Linked DNA regions of Lepisosteus oculatus. The protein of the gene in region 1 interacts with the protein of each later gene in a pairwise test. Links are inferred from orthologs where the notes say so. Each region holds a gene or a part of one and is shown in the gene's direction. Other genes may lie near its edges.

Region 1 (6,934 bases):
GAAAGAAGGTGTCATAGAACTTGGAACAAGAAGCCCTTTTTGTGGGTGTCTGAACATGCTGGTTTGCTGTGTTGAAGCCATGTTCCTAGGGAGCCTTCAAGAAACAGCAGGATGGGATACTTGCATCAATGAGCTACTTACAGCCAAAGGCAGTGAGTGAGTTGAATGGTCTGCTCTTCGGTGTAACCATTTTAGTTTGTTGCTGATCTTGACTGACTTTATTCTCTAATTGCCAAAATGTCAAGGAGCAGCTTTCTCTCTTACAAGTGAATACAGCAGTAAGCTTCCATGTGTATGATAGTCACAAGTGTTTCCTTAAAAAATGCGGTGAGTTAGATTAAAAACTAGCGCCCATTCACTTGCCAATTCACAAGGTCAGGCACAGATCAAATATCTATGCCTCACAAAATATCATGCTGTATGTGTAATATAAACGTTCAAACCTTTGCTTAAAAACAGCACCATGCAATACTCCAAACTCAGAGCAAAAGCTTAATGCTTAGCAAATAAGGTAGCTAATGAATGGGTTAACCTAGCCATAGCAATAAACATGTGTTTGAGCCTGGTCAGTACCTGGATGGGAGACCTCCTGGGAAAAACTAAGGTTGCTGCTGGAAGAGGTGTTAGTGGGGCCAGCAGGGGGCGCTCACCCTGTGGTCTATGTGGGTCCTAATGCCCCAGTATAGTGACGGGGACACTATACTGTAAACAGGTGCTGGATGAGACGTAAAACCGAGGTCCAGACTCTCTGTGGTCATTAAAAATCCCAGGGTGTTTCTCAAAAAGAGTAGGGGTCTAACCCCAGCGTCCTGGCCAAATTTCCAATTGGCCTTTACCAACCATGGCCTCCTAATAATCCCCCTCTATGAATTGGCTACATTACTCTGCTCTCCTCCCCACTGGTAGCTGATGTGTGGGGAGCGTTCTGGTGCACTATGGCTGCTGTCGCATCATCCAGGTGGGGCTGCACATTGGTGGTGGTGGAGGGGAGTCCCCATTACCTGTAAAACGCTTTGAGTGGAGTGTCCAGAAAATTGCTATATAAGTGTAAGCAATTATTATTATTATTATTATTATTATTATTATTATTATGTGCAACTGCAGTAGTAGTGAACATAAACCCGATTTATTAAAAATAACTGCAGTTCAGCATCTTCCCACTAGGTGGCAATGCCGAGCTACGGTTGAACTTTTTCACTTTTGCTGGTTATCTGCGGGGAGACACATCTTCCTCAGTGGCGAAAAATGAACCTTCGATAGCGCTGCTGGGTATATTTTGTCTTTAACAGACACTGACATTTTTGTAAAGAGCAAAAGGCACGCACGGTGAAACTGTGATCCCTCCACCACCCTTGCCCTTAACGTGTCTTTATAAACTCGGATTGAAACAAATGTGTGTATGAACCTGCACTTGACCAGACTGAAAGAAAGAGTTAAACGCCTCATTTAATTTAATTATATTCTGTTCCTTGCGACGCAATGAACAACCGAAAGGGACACGACTTCACAGCCGCGGTACAGTTTTGCATCTCCCAGAATGTCAACTGAAAACGTGGCAAAGCATGGCATATTCATAACCTCTAATGCAGTTTCTTTGGCACCCGGTGTATTTTTTATCATTTTGAAACTAGATCTCATTTCCAGTTTCAAGCTTGGCCAGCTGGGGGCCAGTGTGTAACGCCTTCATTTATTCTGCAGCTGAAAGGGTAAATGCCTACATGCCATTCTCACCCGGCTTGGTTTAAAAGGCGATGCTCTCTCACAGAGAGTTCATGTCTACCGAGACAGGAGAGGAGACGGGGAACAAGTGCACCTCTGTTTAGAAGCAGCATGAAAGAACTTGAATTACAGTTCGGCGGAGTGGATACGTCCCCCACCCCGACACTGCGACCATACAGTAGACTTCCAAGCAAAGCTCCGTTTCGCCACAAAATGGCCCGGGCATTCCTTTTGGCTCTGGCTGCCTGGAAGAGCACATTAGAGACAGCGCTGCACAAGCAATGTCTTTTCATCTCCTGTTAGAGGGGCTCTGTTAACTGCAGTACTGATACATTGATATACTATTAATATACTAAGATATGTGGTGGTGTTTGGTAGCAAAAGGTAAGAAAAAACATTATAAGTTAGGCTTTCACATGTTTTTACCTTATCAAATTATTTTAATTCTTAAGAGAGGAAGGGGTTTTGCAGTTTGTGTTTCACTAGAAATGATCAAACCCAAGGCAACACTTTGGGAACAATTTCTTATGCTTTCCCTCTGCTTTTATCAGGTCATTCTTATTTGTAAAACTCGATTCTGCTTACATGTGTGAAGTGCATCATCACAGGGCAGCACATACCTCTCATGTCTGAGCACTGAGCACCTGCTCTGCCACCAGCACTTGAGCGCCTAACCTCTGCAACTTGCAAACACTGAAGTCTTGCTCATACTGTATACTGTAACTCACAACTGGCAACCCAGTGGAGCTCAGCAGGTGTGAGCCTGGTCAGTAACCGGCATAGGAGCCCTCCTGGGAGAAGCTGAGGCTGCCGCTGGAAGAGGTGTTAGTAGGGCCAGCAGGGAGCACTCACCCTGCAGCCTGTGTGGGTCCTAATGCCCCAGTGTAGTGACGGGGACACTATACTGTAAAAAGGCTCCGTCCTTTGGATGAGACGTAAAACCAAGGTCATGACTCTCTGTGGTCATTAAAAATCCCAGGGTGCTTCTCGAAAAGAGTAGGGGTGTATCCTGGATAAATTTCCCATTGGCCCGTATCAATCATGGCCTCCTAATAACCCCCATCTCTGAACTGGCTTCATTACTCTGCTCTCCTCCCCACTGAGAGCTGGTGTGTGGTGAGTGTTCTGGTGCACTATGGCTGCTGTCATCATCCAGGTGGGGCTGCACATTGGTGGTGATGGAGGGGATCCCCATTACCTGTAAAGCACTTTGAGTGGAGTGTCCAGAAGAGCGCTATATAAGTCTAAGAAGATATTATTATTAATTATATAAGGGTCCTTACACACAAGGCCATCTCCACAGTACCTTTGGATAAAAGGGTCAGCTATATACTGTAAATGAACAGTTGCAGTCTAGTCGATTTCAGTTTTCCATTTGGGGGCAATGGAGTATTTAAAAAACAGTTACTTTAGTCTGTTTCACAGAGTTGAGGACGTTGGAGTGGAGTTGCTGCTCCTCTGGATCGAGAGGAGTCAGTTGAGAAGGGCTGGGCATCTGGTGAGGACCCAGGGTGGACCCAGGACAGGCTGGGGGGGGAGGGTTCTCTCAGCTGGTCTGGGAGCTCCTGAGAGTCCCGCAAGAGGACTTGGAGACTGTTGCCGGGGAAAGGAAAGGAAATTCTGGGCTGCCCTGCTCGGCCAGTCATCACAGCAACCCTCAGCAGGAGCAAGGGGCTAGAACATGGGTGGATGGACGTGAAAAGGTCCAGTGGGACTTTTGAAAACCTCTCATGTCTTAATTAGAATCAACTCTGTACCAGATTCTGTGTTTCAGAACTACCTGCGCACAGGTGTGACGTCGGAAATGGAAACGCCTGGACCGCCTGGCAGATGGAAAGCAAAGCTCGCTGAGGGTGTCTGACACAACGTCCGTCTCGCCTGGATCTGTTCATCGGAAACCCATCACCTTCTGGGGGCTGTGCACCGAGAAATAAGGGTTCGCAAATCGAGGAGAGATTGTTTAAAGTCCTGTGGGATGTTTTTGTAGGCCAAACTATCTTAGAAGGGGGGTGGACACACATCATAGGGGGGATTGGAAATTCCTGCCCAACAGGAAGACCACCGCCTTCATGTCCATCGACACCATTTGACACATTTTCCAAATGCAATACAGTTTAGTCTTTAACGGGAAAAAAACACCCGCTTTTGATATTCAGAATGAATGGTGACCATTTAAGTGGCGTCCCAACATAATTTCGTTGTTTAACTCGTTTGCACATCCAGCTAGCGCTTCCCAGTCACCCCAGAGCCGAAGGAGGCGGCTCCGGCACTGCGTGCGGTTTCGGATTTCATCTCACGGCCAGAGGAAACTCCTGGGCTTCACAATGGAGCGCATAACGGCATAAAGCGCCGCGGGCTGTATCTGGAATACGACGGCAGAAAATGTTAGCACGGAACAGAAAGCGCCGAGCCTTTTTTTTCTGCGTAACCCTTGGAAGATTGCGCCGCGCTCCGTAAAAACAAAATCAAACTGGCGAATGTTATTCTTCCCACTGGGAAGTGGCAGGAATTGTCATCAAGCGCTGCCTGGGATTTTGCCTGGTTTAAGGGCAGTGCTGTTAGTGAGCTGCAGGCTGAAGACGAAACACACTAAAGACACGCCGGCGTCTTCTTTTAACGCAGGCCACACAGGGGACACAAAACGCGCAGGAAGCGGTGCGAGTCTTGGAATTTTATTTTTAGGGGAAACACTTTCCCGAGCGGAAATGACTTCAGTGTGATTTTCTTTCTGCAGAGCTCCGCCAGAGAAGGGAATTCCTAGGCAGACTGGAAAGATGTCCGTTTTCACCCGTTCATCGTTTCTGGAAACATAACAGCTTTTGTTGTTTTGTTTTGTTTTTTTGCTCCTTGCAAAAAAAATGTTTACCGGGATGGTGAAGGTAGGGGGCGAAGTCCCCTCCATGCCGATCTCTGACACTGACAGCATCACGCACGTCAGCCACCGGCACCATGCTGGGTTCAGGCCAGGTAATTATTGGCGTTATTTACTATAAAGCGTTGCGAGGTCTAAATCTGTTCAACTGCGTTGCGCTTTATTAAACACGATTGACATCATCGGTGTTTTATGCATGTTCTTCTCTTATGTTATATCTTCTTTGAACGTTAATAGTTTGCGGTTCGATAACTGTAAAATACTGTAGTTTTGTTTTACAATTCAATGTCCGCACCGGTTTTTGAAGCTGTAAAAACTCGGATTTGAACAATGTTGCGAGTTCGATTGATAAACACAAACGCCCCTGAAAACATTTTCACATCTATTCATAGTGTTGGTTGGTTTCAGTTGTATCCAAATGTTTATTTATTTTTGCATCTGTTTTGTGATCACAGTTACCACTACCCGCCTGAGCCAGATTCGTTACAAGAAATTGCACTGCGGCCAACTTTTGAGCGAAACGTCAGCCGAGTTCTGTGAACTGCAAGTTTGCAAGGAGTTTTTTTGGGGAAATTAATCGCGCGTGATGAGCACAAAAACGGCATGACCCAAAATGTTTTTTGAAATGCTGAAACATGTAACACAATATATGATATTTTAGGAAGTCACGCAATGCGTTTATAAAACCTCTGACTGCCCTTAGGTTTTAAAGTAACACATCTAGCCCTGGTTAAAAAAATGAAATTTCCCATGACTGCTGTTTAATTCAAATTTGTAGATGATCGGACGTTAGGCTAACTTTTTTTTTAATAATCTGAAAATTCACACTGCAGGGATTTACATTAGAATTGTGAATTAATCTGTGATCGTCGCATTTCTACAGTTTTTAACTGTAGTACGGGCAAGCAAGCATTTTAGACGTGTCTCCTGAATGACACGCACGCACAGAACGCAGATCTGAGGACAAAGTTGAATTTGAGATGTTACAGCACAGCAAAGCTGCGTGTCCGACGTTCAGTCCAATCAGCTTTCCCAACTCGTCATATCACAGGGAACTCGAGTCCTCAACCCTGATGCAGATACTGTGTGCGCTTTTCCAAGACAGCCTGAAAAGTTTACCCCCGTCTTCAAGATCAGAGATGTTTTCTATTGTTGTTGAATAAACATAGATGCTACTTGCTAGTTTAAAAACAAACGAAGGCCCCGGTGCTAATGTCAGAATTGTTTGTGTATTTATTTATGCATAAAGTCGTCTCTTAACATAAAACCAGTCTATATTAATCCAAACGTCATTGGCCTGAATGACACGATTTTCCAACAAGGGAAGCCATATTTCTAGTAAACCTGAAACTAGTGAGCACATAAAGCAAGCACACGAAAAACAAGGTTTTTCAGATGACCGTTAATAAAGTCTTTGAAGTTTGATCATGTGTGGAGCTTGTTTTTCAAGTTCTCGCTGACATACATACTGTATGAGTCTGAGCAGTGAATCTGCAGTATGTAGCATAAGTAGACACTTCACATTAATCTGACAAAAAGAATTTGAATTCTGTACATTTTGAATTCTCTTTATCAGTTTTTTTAGCTTTGTAATCTTACAGTTTTGGGGTCTGCATTTTCACAGGCAGAAAATCCGATAGAGGCAGTTTTACATAGCATTCTGTATTTTGGAATTATCTGAAGGGAGATTATTGTTAATAGAGAAAAAAAATATTGTGGAGAGACAACAGAAGTCAAATAGAGTACTCTGTACCTCAAGTTGTGATGTTGTGCCTTTATTACAGAAAACAGAAACAGAAACATTAAAATAGTCTGTAATATTGTTCTTAGAAGCTATGAATGGTTTTCTGCTGGTTAAAAAACGAAATTAAAGGTGATGTAGAATAATTCCTCCACAGGAAAAAAAAATGATTTGTTTATTTGCGTTTTATGCTGTATCGGTTTGCCATTAATCTTAGTCTGTCTTTCATTTATGCTTTTTAAAAAGCAAAGAAATGTAAAAACTGTATTATGAAGGCCTTTCGTCACTGTCGTCTGCTGTATCTTACTAGTTTTGACATTTTTATTTCTGTTCAAAGGCCATTAGTCATGTTTTGTTGCCTGAGCAGCCTAGAGATTAAAAATGATTATGGAGGAGAATCGCTTTTGTTTCAGTTACTGGTATTGGACTTCCTTATTTCTTGTTAAATTCTTACTTTCTTAAAATACCCCTTTTCTGTTGCACTTCTTCTTAGAAAAGATTTTGAATTTTCTCATTTATTTATTTATGCCTACAGGCAACGTGCTTGTGATAGCTTTGTGTTTCCACATGACTTAACAGGATGTTTTCTGTATAACTTTCTG
Region 2 (7,073 bases), on another chromosome or scaffold:
AACATGCAATGAATTCTCTATCATAAGAAAAACAACCAAATGAACAACAATTAAATTATTTTCAAAGCCAGTGTATAAGACTTTATAGAGCTCTGGTCAAACAAATGTGAAGATCTGAAAGGGTAAGTGATTTGCTACTGTGTAGTGTAATTTACGTCAGTTAGGATTATCCTATAAATATTGTATATTAGGATTTACCACAACTAGGTACTCTGTGTTAACATTCCAATTGGGTTCTCTTTTTGTTTGCTTTACATAAAATGATTTAGCGGATGTCACGGCAAGACATTAAACTAGAATGAATACAGGTATTATTTTCCCTGATCTGAACAATGCTATTCGTAGTCTCTGTTCAAGTCAAACAGTAGTTCTGCAATGTTAAATAATGGATTTTCAGCTCACACAGCTTTCTTCAAATCACAGAGAGCCCCAGTGAACTGTGTGGGCTGAGTGAATCGGGCTTCACAGAATTAGGCAAATGTCTTATTTTATTTCCAAATTGACCTGTGTTAACACAGCTTATTTTAGAATAGCAGATAAAAGAGGCTTCTGGGTAATACAAAGAAGACTGCATGGAGCTTCTTTCTTTAATGACAGTAGTGTCATGTGTGTTGGAGACATAGATTAAGTTGAATGGCATGTTGTCATCTCATGTCATGTCATGTCATTCGCCAAACCGCTTTATACCATCTGGCGGAGGGTCGGGGGGAAAAAGGGGAAACAGGACCAGGCGCTCCAGGTCCCATACTCCACTGGTACTGGAAACCAATGCAGAGCCCGGAACAGAGTGAGCGTCTGGCTTAAGTAGGGAGGCAGGAACTGGGAGCAGGTGCACAAAATCAACTCAAATGTGAAAGAGCCGGAGAGCCCTTAAGTGGGACAAACTACAATCGTGACTGCAACAAATGCAAGGCAGGGTACACCCTGGACACCCTGGACGGCTCTCCAGTCCATCCCAGGGCAAGTGCAAGCCAATCATACAATTTGGAGGCCACGGTAAAGCCAGAGGGGGGAAATTTGGCCTGGGACACCGAATAACTCCCTAATCTTATTGAGAAATGCCCAGGGATCTTTAATGAGCACTGAGAGTCAGGACCTCAGTTTAATGTCTCATTTTAAAGATGGACGGCATGTTGTTTATGGGTTAAATTAACAGACCAATGGAAAGTAAAAAATTGACCTGTTTGGTACTGGTTTGCACTTTGTATTGCAAAGATAGGTAAATGTTTTGTTATTTTTTTACTCAGTTTAGTCATTTTCTTTAACTTTTCTCTTACACACCTGACTTAGATGCAAAACCAACAATTGGTTTTATAGGGATCATCAATATTACAAACTCTTGTACAGAGCATCAAAACAAACATATTACTGAAAAATAAAGTATATAAATATTGGATATTAATTAAATGTTCTTGCCATCTTTTTGACTAATTGATACTTCTGAGACTGTAATACACTTAAGTGACTTCAACGGTTGTATAATCACTAAATCACCTAATTAGTGAGATAGTCAATTGGACACAGGTGATGAGGTGGTTTTAATGTCAAACCTTGTAAAAAATCGAAAGAGAAAACCACAGAAAAGAACCAATATTAAGAGGATCTTTTATCAAGGGAACAATGCCTTCATGCAATCAATATGTTGGAAGCTGGACTAAATGAATTCATGTGGACATGAAGGCAGTGATGCCAAATCCTCCGTAACAATGAATCAGGGTTTTGTGTAGCCCCCCCTGATAGATTTCTGCGAACGTAGTAGGGATGTGCAGAGTGTCATGCCAAGCGCTGTGTACAACAGATCGATCAACAGGAAGATCCAAATATGATGGTCTGGGCAAGAGTGTCCGGTCGCTACAGCAATCCCCTTATAACACATCCCAACTGCACACTACTTCTCTGATGAAGTTCTGGGGCATCGCTTGTTGCTCCTCCTGTGGACTCATCCAGCTGTGATAACATTCCAGACAGCCAAAGTGAGTCCTCCTGTTGCTTGTGTAACAGCTTTCTCTGAGTATGCGACAGTGGTGTCAACAATGTCCTGCTTCCAAACCTTGAGCCCTATGGAGCATTAGTGGGATGAACTGGGATGATGTGTGCCATTTTAGAGCTCAGAGACAAGTGATCTGACCCATGCTTGACCAGGATTTACACAGGCAATGTAACATGTCAAGATTTTAAGCTTGAATTCTTTCCAGCAGGGGCCACACACACTGGTAGCCTGTGACCCACTGTTAATCAGAAAAATTAACTTATCAATGTTGTGGCAGTCAACCTGCTGCAAAATGTTTTTTTGTCATAATTGATGCTATGTTTACAATTAAAAGTTGATTAAATTCATGTCAGTTTTTTAAGAAGATGCTATGTCAGTAATTTTTGTTGCTTATGGCGGACACTCCCTGGTTCCTTACCAAGATGATGTAATTATGTATGAGTGCATTTCAAAACATATTAATTATATGCACAACATGCTTTAGAAGAGGAATAAGAGCACTGGAAGTAATTACTATGACAATGAGTGATGTTTATTGTTGCCATTTGTGAAAAAAAAAACACAATGAAATTAATTAGCAGCATTTGTTTCTATTTAATATCTCCAGTGTCAGGTTTTCATTAAACATAGAAAAGTAAATTGCATAGGGATAAAGCTGACACATTATTCGATTTTTGCATTATTTTAATCTTAAGATAGATGGCTTTATAAAGAGTCCACAAGCAAATGTGTTGATTAGTCGTCATGTACAGGAGACCAAGTAGTTAAGAAACATTTTGGTTTCCACAATAAATGCTACAGTGAAGGAGGAGGTGGGGGTGGGGGTTGGAGTATGCTGAGATGAGCTTTGATTAAGACCTTCCCAACATTAAGAGCAAAATAAGACTGACTCCATGGATGGTCTTTCTAATTTAAGACAACCAGCAAAATCCAGAAATGCAGGAGAAACTTACTGTAAGTTAGCATTGTAGATGTTGAAGTGATAAAATTGGGTAAAAAAGGTAATACAAAGAACCGATTGTGAATCTGTTACAGTTAATCACACAGTAGAGTATGGAAGTAGAAGCATGGGCAGATGATATACTGGATCCATGATTTTCCTGGGTGCAGGTGAGTTGACAGGCTCATAGAGACTAGCAAATACTCATTTCTATTTCTGTATCCTCCGTTGTTAAAAGCTATCCTGGAGGCTTGTGGCTCATCATGTTTGAGCTCATCTCAGATTTCGTGGTGTTAAATGGACTAAGATTAGATGACTTTGTTGTATATGACACTAGCCCAAGTAACTCCAGCCATGCTTGTGTCCATTCATATGGGGTACTTAGAGTCTACATAAGAAAATCAAATCCACAATCTTCCAGCTAGTACTCTATTGCTGCCCCTCAATTGTTATCCACTAAAACCTCAGTTTTTCTTATTACCATGATAAATCTGTCCAGTAATACTGCATGGGTTCCAAGATGTACATGTACCACAAGGATGTGGTTTTTAATTTTCTCTGCCATGGCAAAAATATTATCCATCTGGGTTTAATGTTTCACTGTGATTCTGCTGCACTCTGTCGTGTTTATTTCAAAATACACCATAGAACACCTTTAGAAGGGAACCCTTGAAGGAACACATTGAAAATTTCAAGAAGACCATAATATGTCAGGAATCTGAGTTCGATCAAGAGCTGTCTAACCAGATTTTTGGATTACATATGGTAACTGTTAATTTTGGATGCTATGGCTTTAACTATTCAACAAAGTGTGTTTATTTGCGCAGAAAACGAGGCGAAACATTTGTACCAATTGACTTTTTTTTACATTATTTGTTGTGTTTATCTTCGTTGCAAAGTTTTAATTTGTCAAAATAAATTGGAGTAGTGTTCAAGGGTACTTTTATTTCGATGTATGTACATAATGCGTGTTATTCTCCTCATTTTCTACTGAGTTTCACTTCTGCCCCGGCTCCAATAAAGTCCGTACAGCATATATTTGCGCTACGGGATCGTCTGTCCTTTGTTAAGTTGTTTTGCTTCTGCGATCATTGGCTGTCCACGTCCGGAAGCACGCATTTGCTTGTTTCCCGGAAGTGAGCGGCGCTGTTTTTGTTGCCAGAGGGACTCCTGTGTTGTGAAAATGGCGGCGTCTCGTCGCTCGTCTCATCAGCAGCAACAGAGCCTGTCGTCCCCTCCGCGGAGCTCCTCTCTCTCCCCGACTCCCCCAGGTTCACCTCTTGCTCCTGCACCCGCAGGGGCTGCAGCCACGGTCCCGGTTGGCGCCGACCAGGACAGCAGCGGGGAAGCGGAGATCACGCCGGCCTCCCCCGATCTCCCCGCTCCGGCCCTTAGCAGCAGCAGCAGTACTGCTAGCAGCAGCGGCGGCGGCGGCGGCGGCTCCACGACGACAACCACCGGCGGGGGCAGCAGCAGCAGCAGCAGCGGCGGCTCCAGCCCGGACTCGGGCACTGCAAGTCCGGGAGGTAGCGGCGGCGGCGGCGGGGGGGCGTTTAGGGAGCTGTTTGAGGCCTGCCGCAACGGGGATGTGTCCCGGGTCAAGAGGCTGGTGGACTCGGGGAACGTGAACGCCAAGGACATGGCCGGGAGAAAATCCACCCCGCTTCACTTCGCGGCCGGTCAGTATTTCGCTGTGTGTGTGTTTGATTTGTTTTCTATCGCTTGACATTTGAAGTCGCTGTTAGGATATGTAAGGGCAGCCCTGGAGGGTGGTTGAAAACCCGCAATAAACGATTAAAGCGCTGATGATCGACAATTCTAATCGAGAAAATAGGAGGGGGGGGTGGATCAAAGTAACTGGAAATCCACGCTTCCATCCGGGAGGCTGCAGCTGCTGTGGAATTCGTGTCTTTGCACATTAGAGTTGCTTCCGTTTTTTCGATGAGGTCGGTGGAGTGGGCAGCGTTGTGGTGGTTTAGCCGATGAACGCGGATGCCTTTTAACTGGAGTATAACTTTGCGGCGAGACTTCGCTGGTGTTTAGCCCTCATCTGCCGAGTCTGGGGGTCGTGCCAGTTTGAGGAGAGGCTAGTAACACCTGAGCGAGCATAAGCTGTCACGCCACTCCGCGACGTGTCTGAATTAGTTCGCGCGAAGCTCTGTTATCCCATCTGGGTTTTACGAGGAGAGATCCGTTCAAAACAACGTCTGAACTGAAGTTTGGGAAGTTGGGTTGAGCGTTTAAACGAAGCCCAGGCCGTGCGGGTGTCCGCATGTTGTGTGCGCGCTGTGGGAGCGGCAATCCGTGAAGTTGATTATGGAGAGCTGTTTTTTTTTTAACACGGAGATAAATAACTTGTGCTGTCAAAACGTGACTTTTCGTCTGTCATTTGTGGGGAACACAAACTTTTCAGGGCGTGTGATTGCAATCAAGATGAGACCGATTTTGCTTCATTTTCCACGTAATTACAAGCAAAGTAAAATCGAAACTTATGTTGATATACTGAGAATACTGTCTTTGAGAACCTACCCTTTAAAGGTGCTATATAAAATAAAGTTTATTATTATTATTATTATTATTATTATTACTGGGAGATCACATGAAAATTACTTTCCAGTTTAGGCCTTGTCTGGGTAAATGCTTGTGACAAATGGTCCAACACGTGCTGACAGACCTGTCAGCCAGTGTGATTTATTTTGCTGTCTGTAGTCTGACACACCTGCTCAGATAAGGGGGCAGAAAAGACCCCAAGTCTAAGATTTTAAGACCACCATGTTGGGTCCTCCTGAATGGACCACATTGTCCTGAGAAAAGCCTAACAAAAAGTCAGTACTATTTTAATGTACCATTATTTAATAAATTCAAGATCAGATGTCAAAACCTTCCATTTGTGTTGCTTTTATTTGGCTGTAGAACAGCAGGTATGTGTATTTATAGCTGCAACATGCCAGGACACGCCAGGGTGTTTTTCTACAAAAAGGTGCAAAATGTGTTAGGAACCTTTTAGAAAGTATTAAAATATTCAAAAGTCCCACAACCAAAACTTTGACAACTCTATTTTTCTCAGCTTCCCTTGTGGTAGCTCTTATTTTGTACTTCAGAAAAAAACTACAAAAGAAGAAAAAAGTGTGGAGGTTGTTCCAGAAATAGATCTGGCAATCCAGGTGTATGGCAGTTTGAACATTTCTCAGGCCCTTTCTCTGCGTACGTCTTGTCTAGCAGCTGACATGGGTGGTGATAGGAACATAACATGAATAACTTTAACATCCATCCCGAGACTTTTCAGAAACTCTGAGAGAATTCCTCAGATCTTGCTTGATAAAATTTAGAGCTACTTCACACCAGAGATGTATTTTCTTTCATATACCTGCTTAACTGTCCGAGTCTGAGGGATTGTCAAAAGTACTTCACTGACAGTGCAAAATAAACGAAAGTGCCAGTATCTTCCAGTGTTATAATCACATTGGTTGGCAAAAGAATCACCAGAATATGACAATCACTACAGAGAGCTTGGCTTTTCTCTGGATTACACTTGATGCCTGCACCTTCCTGTGTTATATGAAAACTGTCTCTAAAACCTGGCATATGACCTAGTGAAAAAAGGACTGTAAACTGGATATTATCAGCGCTTCACAGTCTTCTGCTCAGGTACTCCTTCCTTGCAGAAAACGTGGTCAACATGGGTGAAAGCATACATTTACAGATGTAGAATGTCTACTGCATATTCAGTATATGTGTATATAGATATAATGCTGAGACCCTTTCCTACTTATTTTTCTTTACTTGCCTTGGAGTCATGGGGGGGCAACACAAAATGTTAAGCTCAGGATAAAAGTGTTTGGCACACATGCCAGTGTAGGGATTCTGCAGCCCTGTCTGGTCAATCAGCATTTAATGTTGAAGAAAACACTTTATTTAAAGAAAAAGACAGCATCATGTTTTTTTTTCCATCTCACTCGCATAAAACCTATTATTTGCGGATTCTTACTTAATGTAGAGAAATAGCCGAGTTGTTTTATGTTGTGGGAACAAATAGAATTATTCCGATTTTCAAATCCTTCTTCCTGACTGGATTCAAACTCTTTTTAAGTTTTTCAGTTCGGGCCATAATTGTGAATGGATTGTGTATATTAACCAATGAGT
Region 3 (7,272 bases), on another chromosome or scaffold:
CAAGCTCCCAAACAAACATTCTATTCCCCCTAAAATTCATAGAACACTATTTCATATAAACATAGTAGCAACAAAGATGTTGTATTGAAAGCACTTTAACAGAATTCAACTCAATGCAAGCTTCAATCAGGATCATATATGAAAGCACTAAATAGGAGATTTACAAATATTGTCTAGTTACTGTGTATTCGAAGATGTTGCAGATAAATCATATCTCTGTTCTTGTCTTTCTAACCATTTCATCAAAGACAAATAACATGACTGAGTGTTGAAAATATTTATTGCCATTCTGAATGTACAGAACAAATGTTTCTCCTAACAAAACCAGTCAGCGTTTATCCATCCACCCATTTTCTAACTGCTTCATCCAATTCAGGGTTGCCTATCCTGTAAGCAATGGGCACAAGGCAGGATACACCCTGGATGGGACACCAGCCCATTGCTGGGCACACGCAGACATGCACATACTCACACTAAGAGCAATATTCCCAGAAGCCAATTAACCTACCAGTATGTCTTTGGACACTGGGAGGAAACATGCAAACACTGGGAGAACATACAAACTTGACACAGATAGCACCCCAGGTCATTAATCAAACCAGCACTGTGAGGCAGCAATGCTAATGACTGTACTACTATGCTTCCTGGCAGCAATTATTATGATATGATATTTAAGACAAAAAGAATGATGACATCTTGTACATCAGATACATGGTATCTGAAAAGCTCTATCTTCAGTTAACAAAAGTTCCAACAGTTTCTTCTTAGTACAAAGCCACAAATGATAGCATTCAGTAGTTTAACATTATTCCTTACAAGCTCAATGCAATTTCAGAAGCATAGTTTTGAATTCTGTTGCTTTGCTGTCTTATCCTAAGCACGCAGATCAAATACCATGAAAACTCTAAAAATGCCAAGTATCATTTGCCTTGCCAAACAAAAATTATATTATTACCACCTATTGCTGGTCTTCAGGACAGAAAAGCGGAAATTGGTCTGGGGTCTAAAATGATTGATGGGGCTTTTTAAATTCCACCAGCTCACGTATATACACCTCAGTGGTGCTTCACAGTGGCAGCCTTTTGCAACTTGAACCAATGCTGCCACCCAGTGGTTGAAGAAGAGTTTATATAGGTTATATAGACAGAGATCAAGTTCAAGTTTGTCATTCCAGCCATATATAAGTATACAGTGTATACAGTATACAAAATATCATTCCTCCTGGTCCACGGTGCAATTACAGATAAGACACTGACATGGACAATGTAGACAGGACTAGCAATGCTAATATTAATACATACGATTGTGCAAACTAAGACAGTGGCCATGTACACAGGTTATATACATGGTGTAATTTAACTGTTGCAGAATAGTATAAAACAATACATCACACAATATACACTAAACACTGGGGGGATTTTAAACCTTGTTTCTGGAATTGGAGTGGGTGCAAGTAAGTACCCAGGTGTTGAGAAGCCTAACAGCCTGTGGGAAAAAGCTGTTACAGAATCTGGTGGAGCGAGCCCGTATACTGCAATATCTTCTTCCAGATGGTAGGAGAGCAAAGAATTTATGGGAGGGGTGGGGGTGGGGGGGGTCATCTACTATACTGGAAGCCTTGTGCATACAGTGTTTGTGAAAGATGACATGAATGGAAGAAAGGGATGCTCCAATAATGTTTCCAGCTGCTCATATTTTCTCAGCCACAGACCATTTCAACAAGTCTCCTTTGGATTTCCAGTTTTTAAAAGGCGCATTTATAAAGTGTAAACTAGTTAAAGTGTATCTCCTCAAGAAGCCTTTGGAAAGCAGCCATTTTCAGTTAAGACCAAAATGTATCGTTCCTTTCTAACCATAATTGTATTTCCAAATCCAAACAATGAGTGCAGGTTAGATAGAGGATTTATTCTTAGATTACAACTCTAAACTTTTCAGGACAAACCCAGTCAAATTCAGAATCTTGGGTCTGTGTAAGTGTATAAAAATAAATGGAGAAAGTATCATGCAGAACCCACAAGATCAGCACGTACTGTATGACGGAATACTGTTCAATTCATCAGGAGTTTTATTGATTTGTTCCAGCTCGGCTAACACAGTGGTTAGTACCACTGCCACAGCTCCAGGATCCTTAACTTCATTCCATTTGAAATCCAGTTGGAGGCTCTTGCCTGCGTGAAGTTTGTTTTGTTCTCCCCACCTTCACAGAGGGTTTCATCAACAACCTCTTACCCTCCCAACCACATATAGAGTAAACCCAGCATTATCCATTTCATTAACAAAACGCTCTCTTCATTACTCTGCCCTGTCAGAATTGCTGTGGACTTGTTCCGTGGAAAACTTAGGTTCTGAGTGTCAGTGAGACATGACGCCTCTCTTGGTTGTACTTCTGTGGAAAGAAATTTCCACAATGCATCATGCTGCACAAAGCGATAAGTTTGCTTAATACGAACAGTGCAAAATACAAATCCTTTTATATTCCGTGAAGAACTCACATTGTTATGATTTTGCACTCCTCATTAGTAGAGATTTGCAGGCTGACTTCAGCAGGAACCGTCTTCGACAAGAAGGCAGTGTTTCAGGTGTGAGACGAGAAAACAACACTCACAATAGAAAATCAATTTTAATGCTCAATAAACACAAAATTTCATTTAAAGAAGAAATAAAGGGTTTTTAATTGGAATAAGACTTCCAATTAAATTGGACAGACAGAGACGCAGTTGTCAAGTCAACCTTCATTATGAGTATAACAAAATGTGTATAATGCAAGGTTGTATAAGACCAGCTGCAATCAACACTTAACAAAAACTATAACACAGGCCAACTTTTGATTTCCCATATTATCGGTGGCACTCTGGCTAAGGATCTGCACCTGTGGCTGGAAGGTTGCTGGTTTAAATTCCTAAAGAGGGAGACTCCAGATGGCAGCACTGATGAGCACAAAGGAGGAAGAAGTTTTTAACCTGGACCAAATGAAGCATCTCCCAGAAGCCTTAGCTGGAAAAAACAGGAAAGGATGACTCAGCATGAGATGAGCCAAGGTTCCAACTAAATAAAGTACAAAACAAGATTTAAAGACACTGGATTAAGCAGGACTTTCATTTAAAAAAAAGGAAGAGTAGCAGCTTCTGGTCCACAGTCTCCACATTTTAGCATAATCTTAAACAACTCAAGTCCCTGCCCTTAGCTGCTTGCAAGAAATGGCTAGATGAGATTCTCAAACAACCAGACAAAGCTAGATGTACTGAATAGTCTCCTCTTGGTTGCAACCTTTCTTATGCTCTTAAAGTGGAAAAGAAAAAAAACAATAAAAAAGGCTAACAGGGGTTTTTAAAAAATTGAAAAAAGTCAAAAGACAAAACACACACTGGTGAGTTCTATCTGCAGTGATAAATTTTAGGATAACCAAAATAACAATAATACAAGAAAAAAGGAGGAGTGATAACAAACAATAATAACAAATGTGATATCTGTTCAGGCACGTGTTGTGTAGTAGATTTTTTGTTTCCCTCTAGTTTTGCCAATGTGTCTAGACCAGGGTTCTTTAATCCTGGTTCTGCAGGCTGACAAATGAAGAGCTGGGACAAGCTGGTAATGAATGAACTGGTCACATCAAATATTCATCCATCAATTGTCTCACTGCTGTATCCAATACAGGGTTTCTGGACACTATCTGGAAAACAAGGGGTGTAAGTCAGGATGCCCCCTGAGCGGGATGCAAGTCCATCTCAAGGTACACACAGACCCATGTGCACGTTCACACTCACACCAGGGCCAGTTTTCCCAGAATCCGGTTAGTCTATCAGTATGTCTTTGGTCTGTGGGAGGAAAATGGAGCACCCCAGAGGAAATTCACATGAACCTGGCGAGAACATACAGTACAAATTCCACACAGATAGCTCCCCAAGTCTGGAATTGAACCCAGGGTCCCAACACTGTGAGGCAGCAATACAAACCACTGTGCCACTGAGCCACACAGCAATTGATGATGAATTTTTCAGACTAAAATAAAAAATAAATATATAAAAAAAATGCCATGTATAATTTGCTTACCAACAAGAATTGTTGGTAAGCAGATGTATTCTAATGCAAACATTCCTTCTGAAAGAAGTCATACATGATATGTAGATCAACTGTTAATCCACATGCAACAGAAGACCCCAGAAAATATGTTTTAGTGCTGTATGTCCTCTTTGCCTTCCTATCCGCTACACTGCGCTGCACTGTAATCACGTGGCACGTCATGTGACTGGCAGGGCCGTGGGTAACCTTTCACCTGTGGAGAGTGTATTCTATGTAGCCAGCGATCGGCACCTGTCAAAATATACTGTACTATCAGTAAAAAAGATCTACACAGCGTGATTTGTGAGTATTAGCGCCTCGATTACTTGATCCGTTTTGTATGTACGACGGATGATTGCTTTTCTCGCCTGGATCGGGTTATTTTCTGTTGTGTGATTTCTGCATTGTGTAGTAACAGATCCAGTTCAGCGAAAGAACACTAAGGTTTTCCTTATCGGTTTGATTAATTTTTCAGGTATTCTGATGCTGAAACTAGACCGATTATGTCTCTTTAATTACTGCGTTTGCAACACAGTGTTTGTTTCTGTTACACGATTAACCAATAACATTTTGTAAATGAAACTTGATTAAATCCCATCAAGAGTTTGTCTTTGTCATATATATTTAATGTTACTATAGACCCAAAACATTAATGATTATATGCTTTTAAACATGCCACGCGAAATGCTTCGTGAGGGTTGATAATAGATCTTTAGATTGTTTTTGTGGTTTTAGTGAGTGAGTATAAAATCATCTAAAAGTATAGTGATTAAAACAAAACGCTTAAGAAACAGCGGATCCCAAGACATCCGTGAACACGTCCTTATTGTAATCGACAGTCAAGGACTACTTACTTGTCTTGTTCGTCTCCATTTTTTAAGCCTTCAAGCCTTATTTCACACAGAGAATAACCATGTTGTGTTGAGGGTTACAGAAGATTTGCACGACTCTTTAAGGAGGCGATATTGTGAAGTATTCACCAAGTGAAACAAATCCAATCGGCCACCCCATGCCTCTCGGTAACTGACCGAAGAGTACGAATCAAGCCTCCTGCTACCTCCTTCAAATTGTGCTCGTTTGGAGCAGCCGTCCTGGCCTTTCGTGATTATAACGGTTTTGTGTAGCGCTTTTCGCTAAATGGTTTTTCTTTTTGCATTTTCAAATTTTAAAACAGTATTGACATGCTGTTTTGAGTTAAAACACTGAACACTTCAGCTGATAGAATAAACATTAAATTGTTTTAATTTCTTTGGGTGTGCCTACACGCCTGCGTTTCCCGTCAAAAGAAGGCCATTAAGAAGCCATTGAGAGGTGTGGACCTTACAAGCGTTTCATTATGAGAAACTCAGCTGAGGCTTTTAACATCTGTACGACCTTTTCTGTTCTAGTATACTGTTCCCCGCTGCTGTTAGTGAATTTAGTATATTGCACCCTTTTAATATGTGCTGAAGCCTGCAGCTCTGATTTCTGATTGCAGGCCCAAGGGATTAAATATAACAGGGACAATGTTAAATTAAGAGCAGCTGTCTCTTTTTTCTAGTCTGTGATGAAGATAAGGAAGACTTTATAGTGCTATTAAATCAAGCAGATTAGGAGAAAACAGACCAAGAGTTGTGTGGTGTATTTCTAAACCATTGCCTTGATTTGTTTTTAATCTGGAATTGCCAATTAGTGTTTATAATACAACATCCCAATTTTTAATTACCAATTAAAAAAAAACTTGGCTATTGGCAACAAATCCTTTACCAATCCTTACTCATTAATTGAGTGAACTTCAGGCTCCACAGTGCCTGACACAGTCAGAATTAGTTTTTTTCAGGTATCCATAGAACTTCTCAAACTTCTGTGTCCTGTATGTTTAAACTATTTTAATACTCTATATTAAAGAGTTCTTGTTGTCATTTATTTTCATGGTAAACAGCTCAGTGAAATGTTACTTTTGTGTATAAACCATTTCTGTATCATGTTTTAAGAGTTTCACATTTTTGCTAAAACAATTATTTACTTCGATCTCATTATTTACTTTTAGTTGGATACAGCAGTACTGAAAAAATATTAATACTGAATTATTGCAGTGGTAGTGAAATGTCTGTGATTCTAGTTACATCATAGTCACAAGCTGAAAACTAACTATTTGTATTTACTGTTAAAAACATGCTTTCTTGACTGGTTTATCCATTTAAGGTTTCCTGATATAATTCCATAATGGAAGTGCAATGCAGGAAGTAAATGACTCACACTCCCACTTGGAGAACAATTGGAAAACTCCCAATTGGAAAATGTAATGCATAGAAGCATTTGTTTCTGTTTTAATACTTAATGTTGCAAAAATGAAACTGCTGTCTAAGCAGGACAGTGCTGTCTGATTGTTGAATGCCTTATTGAATTCTGATTTTAAAGCATTTTTACACTGTCCCAACACAAGTTCTTCATTCGACCTGTCCTGTGCTTATCACCCACACTGTAAAATATTGAATATTTTAAAAGTAAGAAAATCATGAATGCAGTAGCTCATAAAGAAAATGTAGGTTATTTTTACTGAATGTTTTGATGTTTTTTTAGGTTCTATGTGGGTGGCTTATGGCCATGGAAGACCTAAAGGCTAAAGTTTTCCTCCGGCTTGGAGCACTATGAGGCAGCCATATTGCTCTGGGAGAGCCTCTCTCTGGCACCAGCAGTTCCGTTTCTCCACAGCTTTTGTCTACCAGCAGCCCGCATTTCAAAAATGGCATCCAGCTACCCACCTCCGTTCGAGGAACAGGGGGAGGTGAGGGAAGGCTTTCTCTGTCCGCTGTGCCTGAAGGACCTGCAGTCCTTCTACCAGCTCCAGGCACACTATGAGGACGAGCACTCTGGGGAAGACAGGGACGTCAAGGGACAGATAAAAAGTAAGAGCTAGCTTTAAAACCTTATGTTAGGTTAGGCTAGGAGCTCTATCACCCTGCAACTCATAACTGACAACTCACTGAAGCTGAGCAGGTGTAAGTCTGGCCAGTACCTGGATGGGAGACCTCCTGGGAAAAACTAAGGTTGCTGCTGGAAGTGGTGTAAGTGGGACCAGTAAGGGGTGCTTACCCTACAGTGTGTGTGGCTCCTAATTCCCCATTATAGTGATGGGGACACTGTAAAAAAATAAATAAAAAAGGCACTGTCCTTTGGATGAGATGTAAAACCATGTTCCCGACACTCTGTGTGATTAAAAATCTCAGGATG
Region 4 (7,825 bases), on another chromosome or scaffold:
GGTCATTGGATCAATTAGCTACTAACCACCAAACAGGCTAGATAGGCTTAATGGCCAGCTCTAGTTTGTACCTTTTATTATATCCAATAAGGATTTTTTAAGTACAATTAAAGGATCAACTGTGATGTACTGTATGTACATAATTTGCTAATGATGATGGATCCACTGCAAGGCTGTTCTTCCATTGAACACATTTTGCACATTTATCTTTTTAACATAAATTTGTTTAAATGGAACAACTATTTTCAGCCTCCTCTAAGACTTCTCTAAGGGAGGATGTCTATTTTCAGTAATGTGGTACTTGCCATAAAGTGGAGCAATTCTGGCAGGAGAAATTCTGTCATACTTGCATGTAGCCTGATAGAAACTAGCCCTAACACTACTTCAGTCATGTAGTTATAAGGGGAAGTTAAAATGAACATACTGTATGCTTATAATGTCTGTTAAAAGACATCAAATCTTTAGTTCACTTTTTTGTGGAAATGATATACTGTACAGCTTATGGAAAGTACTAATTTCAGTTCAGCAATTGCCTAAAGCGTAGTACATGGCCTTCAAAATATAAATATTATGTCCTGAGCATGAACCAAATACTGTAATTCCACTACTGAAATTAGAAAATTAACTTTGAGGGAACCATGACTATTTGCTGGGCCAAATCTCAGCACTGCTGCTACCAGGTTTTCTGTTATTAATGTTGCATCTTCTCTCAACTAATCAGTAGTGTCAGTTCCTCTCTTTGTTTTCCTTTTCATTTGATTAAATATCCCCTACATAAAGCAGCAACTGTGTAAATATATTTTTTTCTTCTCACACAGCTATTTGATAAACTGATCATAAGAGCACGTTCACTGTGCCATTAATGAAATCAGGTTTATCCCAGAAGAGGAGATTTCAGAAACACATAAACATCATTAGTGAAACATTATTCTATTTAATCTGCCATTTTTAAGATAAGACTGGGTATAATCTCACACAACAGTTAATAAAAGTTATATATTCTTGGTTCCTAAGTACTGTGTTTACAATAATATAATTTAAATGTAAAAGTCTAATAAGCATACTACAAAGGAAAAACACCTCTCTATAAAGCAGATATGCTCCTCTTGGAGTAAGTTAATAAAACCTAATGCTTGTACAGCTATGGAGTATTTTTTGAGAGAAAAATATTGAAGAAACACTTAAGCTATCACTGCTACCTACTGTAAGTTGCAGGCTTTTCATTAGACCTATGAGATCCCCACTTCACAAGAGGAGAATCTATACTGCAATATTTGATTCCAAGCTGTTTTGAGTGCAGTATTTCAATAATGGAAGAACTTACATAGAAGACCACTCTAGCAGATCGGCTGGCTGTGTTCTGATAGCAGCTTTAGTAAACTGCTTCAGAATGTCTGGTAGCTCTGGTGGGATGATGACTTGCTTTCCAGAAAGAGGCATTTCAGTGCCCAATCTTAAAAGATCAAGATGAAATGCATATTCATCAGAAGAAAACCAACGTAACAAAAACAGATGCTAAGAGTCTAAAATTGCTACAAACAGTGGAAGGTGTCAGACCAGCCTTTTCAAGGCAATACAAAGTACATAATCGCGAAATCAAAACTATCAATCTTTCACCAAGAAACATTTTTTTAATTAATGAATTGCCATGCATTTCAGAACAAACCAGAAATAGTCAAATTAATATACGTGTTCCAATATCTCTTTCTGCATCTCGTTCCTTTTCACTTAATATATAGAAAATGCGCCAATACAAATAATAATGTATTTTATACAGACTACACTGTACATAAAACTATCACAGCGCGATTTCTTAATCAGGTCTATAGACATCTCATTAAATGAACTGCGTGTCTTGTTCTTTTCAAACCTGTTTTTCTGTCCGTTTTCTAAACAGTAAGTGCAGCACGGACTGGGCTACGTTTTCATCATTCCGATTACAGTGTGTTTAGTGCTCTAAAGACATTTTTCAGTTTAAAAAATCAAAACATCGCCTTTTATCGTGAATCCCCACAAGTTTACCGGTATGTACAGGCGACAGAGTCTATCATATGAATAAGTCCTTAAATCGATGCAGACCACCTTCACCATAAAAAAGTACTTAAATAATGCATTTAGAGTATATCAGTCTGTAAAAGTTAGAATAAATACAATCGTCTCCAGACCTCTAGACCTTGACTTTTCTGAACAATGCCCAGTCGCTCTAGTTGATAGTGTCGTCAAAAATTAGAAACTTGAGAAGAGTGTTCAGGTGTGCAGCTGTCAGATGATTTGACCTGATGTTTAACAAGGATATTTTATTCGGTACTGTGTGTATTGTGATGTAGCTGTGACGAGATGGGAGACAGGATTTCTTAAGTAAGCTGTGAATACTGTACATACCGTACCGTTTCATCATGGCAAAGTAATTTAAAACATTATTTTACATTGTAACGTTCCTAATTATTCCATTCTTATTTCCGCGTTAATCGGTAGCAACGCACTATTCTCCAGAAAAACGGAAAACCGCCTTTTCTACTATAAGAGAATTGTAGACTATCTAGGCTTCAAGAGGGTGACGTCACCTTCTGCAATAGGTTCAGTTCTACGGAGCCTTTCTAGGATAACATGAATCTGTTGGCTAACAAGCTCTTTGCTACTCCTTTTCCTTTTGTTACAAACCAAACGGACAGAAGTTCTCTTTTCTCTTACAAATAGTATTCAAAGTATAGCTTTAAAAATAATATGAATTGGTAGAGACCAAACATAATTAACTGTGTACGATATGACCGTTCCAAAAATGTAATATTGTTAATGTCTAAGTCTACAACACCAATGAAAGCCTTTTTTCAAAAGCGTTACTATTCTTTTAATAAATTTGGTGTTTCTATGTGTAATGTGTTTGCTTATAAAGAATGTTTCCAAATTATATATTTTTATCAACTTTTTATGGCAGGGAGCCGTTATATCTTACAACTCATACAGTATGTGGTAATCTTGGAGTAACGAGAAATCTTCTGCAGTACTAGTCGTGTATAAAATATACCACTAGGGGGCAAATTATCTCTATTTTTAAAACGACAATGGACTCGATTTTCCTGTAATTTATGGCCCTACAAATTTTGAGTCACCACAAAATCTTTATAACCTGCTATTTTCTTCGCTTTAAGTTTTTTTTCTCCTTGTCCATACTTGTTTCACTTATTCTATTCAGTGGCTTAGCTTTACAGAACTTCTCATGTTTTATCCTTGTATGAGTCACAGCTGCTACCTTGTGAAATTAAAATACGGTTGGAACCACAACTATTGGCATAAAGTCTTTATACTAAATATTTTGTATAATAGACGTTTTAAATAGAAGAGGTTCTTTACTGACGTTTGGCGGGGATAATGGCAAACAAGCCAATTTCACCCAGTTGTTCTAAATCATAATCATGAATAATCTGTATCACAAGTAAACACCTCTTTTTCGCATTTTGTCTCAGGCCTCCTCTATCCATTTTTACAACCTACCCCTTGGTGAACTCCAATCCTCATCCTATGGGCAGGGGGCTATCTCAAAACCGAGCAGTTTAATGCCGAAACGTATTATACTACAAAATACTTAATATTCACAAATGAAATCATTATTGGATGTCGTTATTCCTCGTGAATTCTTACCACTTCAACGTTTATTCAAACCCTACATTTTTCAGTGCTAGTTGACACATGTAGGCACATTATTGTAAGATACATGTTGACAATAGTTAAGCCGGCCACTGCTCGGTGAAGCCGCATACATAACTTTTTACATACCTGTGAGATGAGCTCATTTACTATAAATTATAACTATTCCACCACTATTGTTTTTCCAAGATGCCTACCTTTAAAAGAATCCTTCACAATACAATTGAGAGTTTAAATCTGTAGAAAAAAAAGAATGTTGGACACAGTAAGAGCTTGGCACGCTATATCCCAACTGCGTTGTCTGTTAACCAATTGACTTATTTGTTACTACAGTATACAGTATGTGTAACAGTTTAAGGCCTCCACGATTTAAAAAAATATTTTTAGATTGCAAGTACGTTACTGAAACAAAATTAAAGAATTGTGCATCCGTTAAGGTCAGCGATGCTTAGTAATGTTAGCTTATTCTATGACATTACATTCTTTCAACGAAGAATGGAGTAAGAAACGGGTCTATGGACATGTTGTAGGTCTTTTTCCCCCCAAATTTACAATGTTCTTGACAATTTGTTGTCGCTTGGAGGCGGTAGATGACCAGAACTCTGGTTGAAGATAGCAAAATTGCCTTCGTTTCTGATAAAAAAGGAGCTTCGATTTTCAGATACAGCGTGCCTTTCCCATGACAGATGGTTAGGGCTGTAACTAGTATAACGTCGCTATATCTGGATTCCGGGAATATACAGAATTGCACAGCCTGTAATCATTTTTACCACCCAAGTCGGTTGTGTGTAAACACCCAGACATTTAATGACATTTGGGGGATATGAACTGGCCGCTCATTGATGAATGAATCGGGTGACTCACCCTGCACACACAAAATGAAAAAAATATGTGTGCCAAACATGGTATCTTCTATGACTCATCTGCATGGCTATTAAAATAACTGTACACATACCGTGCATTCCTGAGGGCATGATGAGGTCAAAACAGGAGTGCAACACAAAGAGCCCCGAACCGAAGCTGGCAGGAGCAAGTTCTTTAGGCAAAAATATCGCGTGAAATTCAGGTACTGCAACTCTGGTTGTCGAAGTAATTGGACTTTCTGTGACTATACACTAGATGGTCAAATATTTCTAGTTGCATAAACTGGGAGCTGTATGCTGCTAGACCTGCCTACGAATATATTGGTTATTAATACGGGAAAAAGGAGGAGACGGGGTAGTGAGAAGGAGGGGTGAAAAAGGGTGCGGAAAGTCACTCATTGTCAGAAACGTACACTTATTTTAGTCGCTTTCTCCACACACGAACAGACGTACTGCCTTTGAGAACAAATGAGGTTTGTTTAGATAAGGTTGCTTTCGGAATTAGCAAAATGTAGGTACATGTTTATTTACATATATTTGGACACAGGGTGATATGTTATCTCTACCTACTCAGGCTGTGTCTCGGCACCAGAAACAGCATATTGAAAAACAGAAATCCGACGTTGTAACTACTGTATTTCAAGATCAAAACCCCTTGCTCTGCACCAGTCACTTACATTATGCAGATTTGTATGACATCACTACAATATACTGCCAAGGTACAGTTCTAAAGCAACCATACGCTGATTCCTTACTCTGTGCAGCTAATTGTAAGGATATATACAAAATAATCTCGAAAATGTGCAAACGCATAAACTAAACACTGCACATAGCTGCAACATAATTTGCAGAACAATTTATTGCATCCTCGTTATGTGTCACATGTGCAGTGGATTGCTTTTGTGGCGCCGGAGCTGCTAGAAAGAGGAGGGTGAATTCTGAACAATAGAGAGAAATGCAGCGCTGTTCTTTGTAATAACACGGACGGAAACCCACGATTGGAAAGCGAACAGCTGCGACCAGGAACACAAGAATATGGAGGGGATCGTGCACTGATTCTGTGAGACACATCACTGGATATACTTCGAGTTACATTTTCCTTTCTGAAATCCACGGGAGAAAGAAGAAGATGAATTCAGCCGAAGCACCCGATGAAGGACTGAATGATTCGGATGCAGACGCGTTTTTCAAAATAGGTAATGGGTTATTTTTTTTCTGTTATCACACATAACTGAAAGGAAATGATTCTGCAGCATCCTGTGAAGGCGAAATGTTAATTATACATTGTGTACGCCTGAGCATGTATTGACCCCTGTATTGACACTGAGTAAAGGAAATCAGAAAACACACGAACGATCATCACTTCGGCCTCAATAGCTCACGTTATGTATTGTACCGGGTTGAAGGAACTGGGTTCCCAACACTCCTGGGAGAGAAAGATTATTTCGTTTTGTGAGAGAGGTGGATTAAACAGGAATAGGATCTCGGAATGTATAGTTATATTAGCTGGTATAGGTGCGTTTTAACGTATGTTTTCTTTCGTGTCGGTGTGCACAATCTTGGCTGATCTTAGATTTTTATAGCCTATAAACAGGGAGTGACTGAATGAGAAAAACATGCCACATACACGCAAACAAGCATGTTGCTGCCGAATACTTACATGTAGTCTATCCCCGTTCATTCTGTATATTGTGCATGTACGTATGTATGCAGCCATTTCTGTCTTTATTTGCCTTTCTGTACACACGTACACATTGGATCAGTGTACACATACATAAGCAAGTGATGTGTAGGTATAAGTATGGTAATTTAAAAGTTAAACTGTTAAACGGTTCATTCAGGGAGTGATACATTTAAATATAGAGGATTAGTATCAACCCATGCTTTTGCACATTGTAAAACCGTAACGAAACTGTCACCTTAAAATTTATAATCGTGTAGCAGTCCAGTTCTTTATACTTATTAAATATATTATTTAAGTTTATCCATCCTGTTGCGTTTTATTAGTATAATTCAATATGATACAAATATGGAATACATCGATAATTTATTATTGAGAGTGAGCACATGAATGTAACCATATACAGTATCTGTATTTTCCACCCTAATCTTCTCTTGTCTCTTGTTATTGTAGTTCCTAAAATGTTTTGGTAGATATAGTTAAATAATTTAGATTTCCTGTTGACAAAGTGATTGTAGGTCCTGGAGAGGATTAAACAGAAAAAGGGAGTGTCTTCAAATTACCCATCACCCTCATCAAATATGTTTGTATCCTTTCCTAGCATAAACCTTCCTTTTGAGGGTGTTTTTTTATTCTGCACATGCAATGGAGATGTTAAAACATTAAAATCTGGATTAATCATTAAATCCATTAGACATCTGCTCTTTGGAGTGACATCTAAACCATGAAGTCAAATAATCTGTCTGAAACCACCAGACAATTGAACACCATTTGCACTTTGGGCTGTTCCTTGACTGAGAGATTCTGGTTTCACTATGGTGACTGTATACCCTCTAACCCCCCAAGCTGAAACTTAGACACAAGCCACAGGATAGCCTTTATAAACCTTAGCTAACCCTATTCGTATTATGCAGGTAAAAATGGCACTTTTTTAAAACTAAATTCGTACTGTAGCATTTGTGTGCTGTTGTTTTTAATTCAGTTTGGATACATGGTGCTGATGTTGTCAGTCTCTCTGATAGCTAGTGATGTAATACTGGCCAAGTCAGGGTTTTTCAATAAAGAGCTTACGTTTTGCTGTACCATAGAACCTGTTGTATACCCGTTTAAGTTCAAAGGTGTGTTTTCATTCTCGTGGCAATTTCTTACAGAGTAACTAAGAACAGAAAAGTAGAGCCAGCTGGAAAAACAAACAAACAAACAAACAAATTATTTATATGAGAAAACGCCAAACTGAGTTTAATCAAATAAATCCTATAATAACGCTGTTTTTGCAGAAAATGAGGGCAGTGTTATATCAGTGTGTTACAGCTTTGTCAAAGTAGGCCAAAGTTGGCGCAAAGGTGTGGTTTTCCAACATATAAAAGTTTCAGACCAAGTAAGAAGAAGGTTTCTTTTATTCTTTATTTGGTCCACTTATATGAAACCTACCAATTTCTGTTTAACATGCTCTATCAATGGGAGTATTGTGTTGCTTTTAATTTTAGTTTGAATTCTACTTACATGACATGACAGAGTGAAGAATTCAGACAGGTTAATCAAGTTATTGATTCATGACAGCTTTTACACACCAACATATTTTAGTTATGTAGTAAGTAGTTTTATTTTTTTTATGGGTGCAATAGAATTAATACAA

Evidence for each region.
Region 2: the proteins of disc1 (region 1) and poly [ADP-ribose] polymerase tankyrase-1 interact in binary tests that used the Homo sapiens proteins (3 or more experiments, as listed by UniProt). The link is inferred for Lepisosteus oculatus from reciprocal best matches to the Homo sapiens genes DISC1 and TNKS.
Region 3: the proteins of disc1 (region 1) and rabenosyn-5 interact in a two-hybrid assay, tested with the Homo sapiens proteins (2 studies listed by BioGRID and IntAct). The link is inferred for Lepisosteus oculatus from reciprocal best matches to the Homo sapiens genes DISC1 and RBSN.
Region 4: the proteins of disc1 (region 1) and kalrna interact in a two-hybrid assay, tested with the Homo sapiens proteins (2 studies listed by BioGRID and IntAct). The link is inferred for Lepisosteus oculatus from reciprocal best matches to the Homo sapiens genes DISC1 and KALRN.

Annotation. Positions count from the first base shown.
Region 1 is NC_090712.1:5,086,890-5,093,823, forward strand, and holds the start of disc1 (disrupted in schizophrenia 1 protein), read left to right. Parts: upstream 1-3,912; 5' UTR 3,913-4,577; coding exon 4,578-4,686; intron 4,687-6,934. UniProt on the Homo sapiens protein: Involved in the regulation of multiple aspects of embryonic and adult neurogenesis. Required for neural progenitor proliferation in the ventrical/subventrical zone during embryonic brain development and in the adult dentate gyrus of the hippocampus.
Region 2 is NC_090698.1:18,734,543-18,741,615, reverse strand, and holds the start of poly [ADP-ribose] polymerase tankyrase-1, read left to right. Parts: upstream 1-4,065; 5' UTR 4,066-4,113; coding exon 4,114-4,609; intron 4,610-7,073.
Region 3 is NC_090699.1:55,419,640-55,426,911, reverse strand, and holds the start of rabenosyn-5, read left to right. Parts: upstream 1-4,256; 5' UTR 4,257-4,362; intron 4,363-6,621; 5' UTR 6,622-6,784; coding exon 6,785-6,947; intron 6,948-7,272. UniProt on the Homo sapiens protein: Rab4/Rab5 effector protein acting in early endocytic membrane fusion and membrane trafficking of recycling endosomes. Required for endosome fusion either homotypically or with clathrin coated vesicles.
Region 4 is NC_090707.1:11,601,661-11,609,485, reverse strand, and holds the start of kalrna (kalirin), read left to right. Parts: upstream 1-4,816; 5' UTR 4,817-5,637; coding exon 5,638-5,704; intron 5,705-7,825. Other genes in the region: ropporin-1-like, read right to left, coding at 1,325-1,440. UniProt on the Homo sapiens protein: Promotes the exchange of GDP by GTP. Activates specific Rho GTPase family members, thereby inducing various signaling mechanisms that regulate neuronal shape, growth, and plasticity, through their effects on the actin cytoskeleton.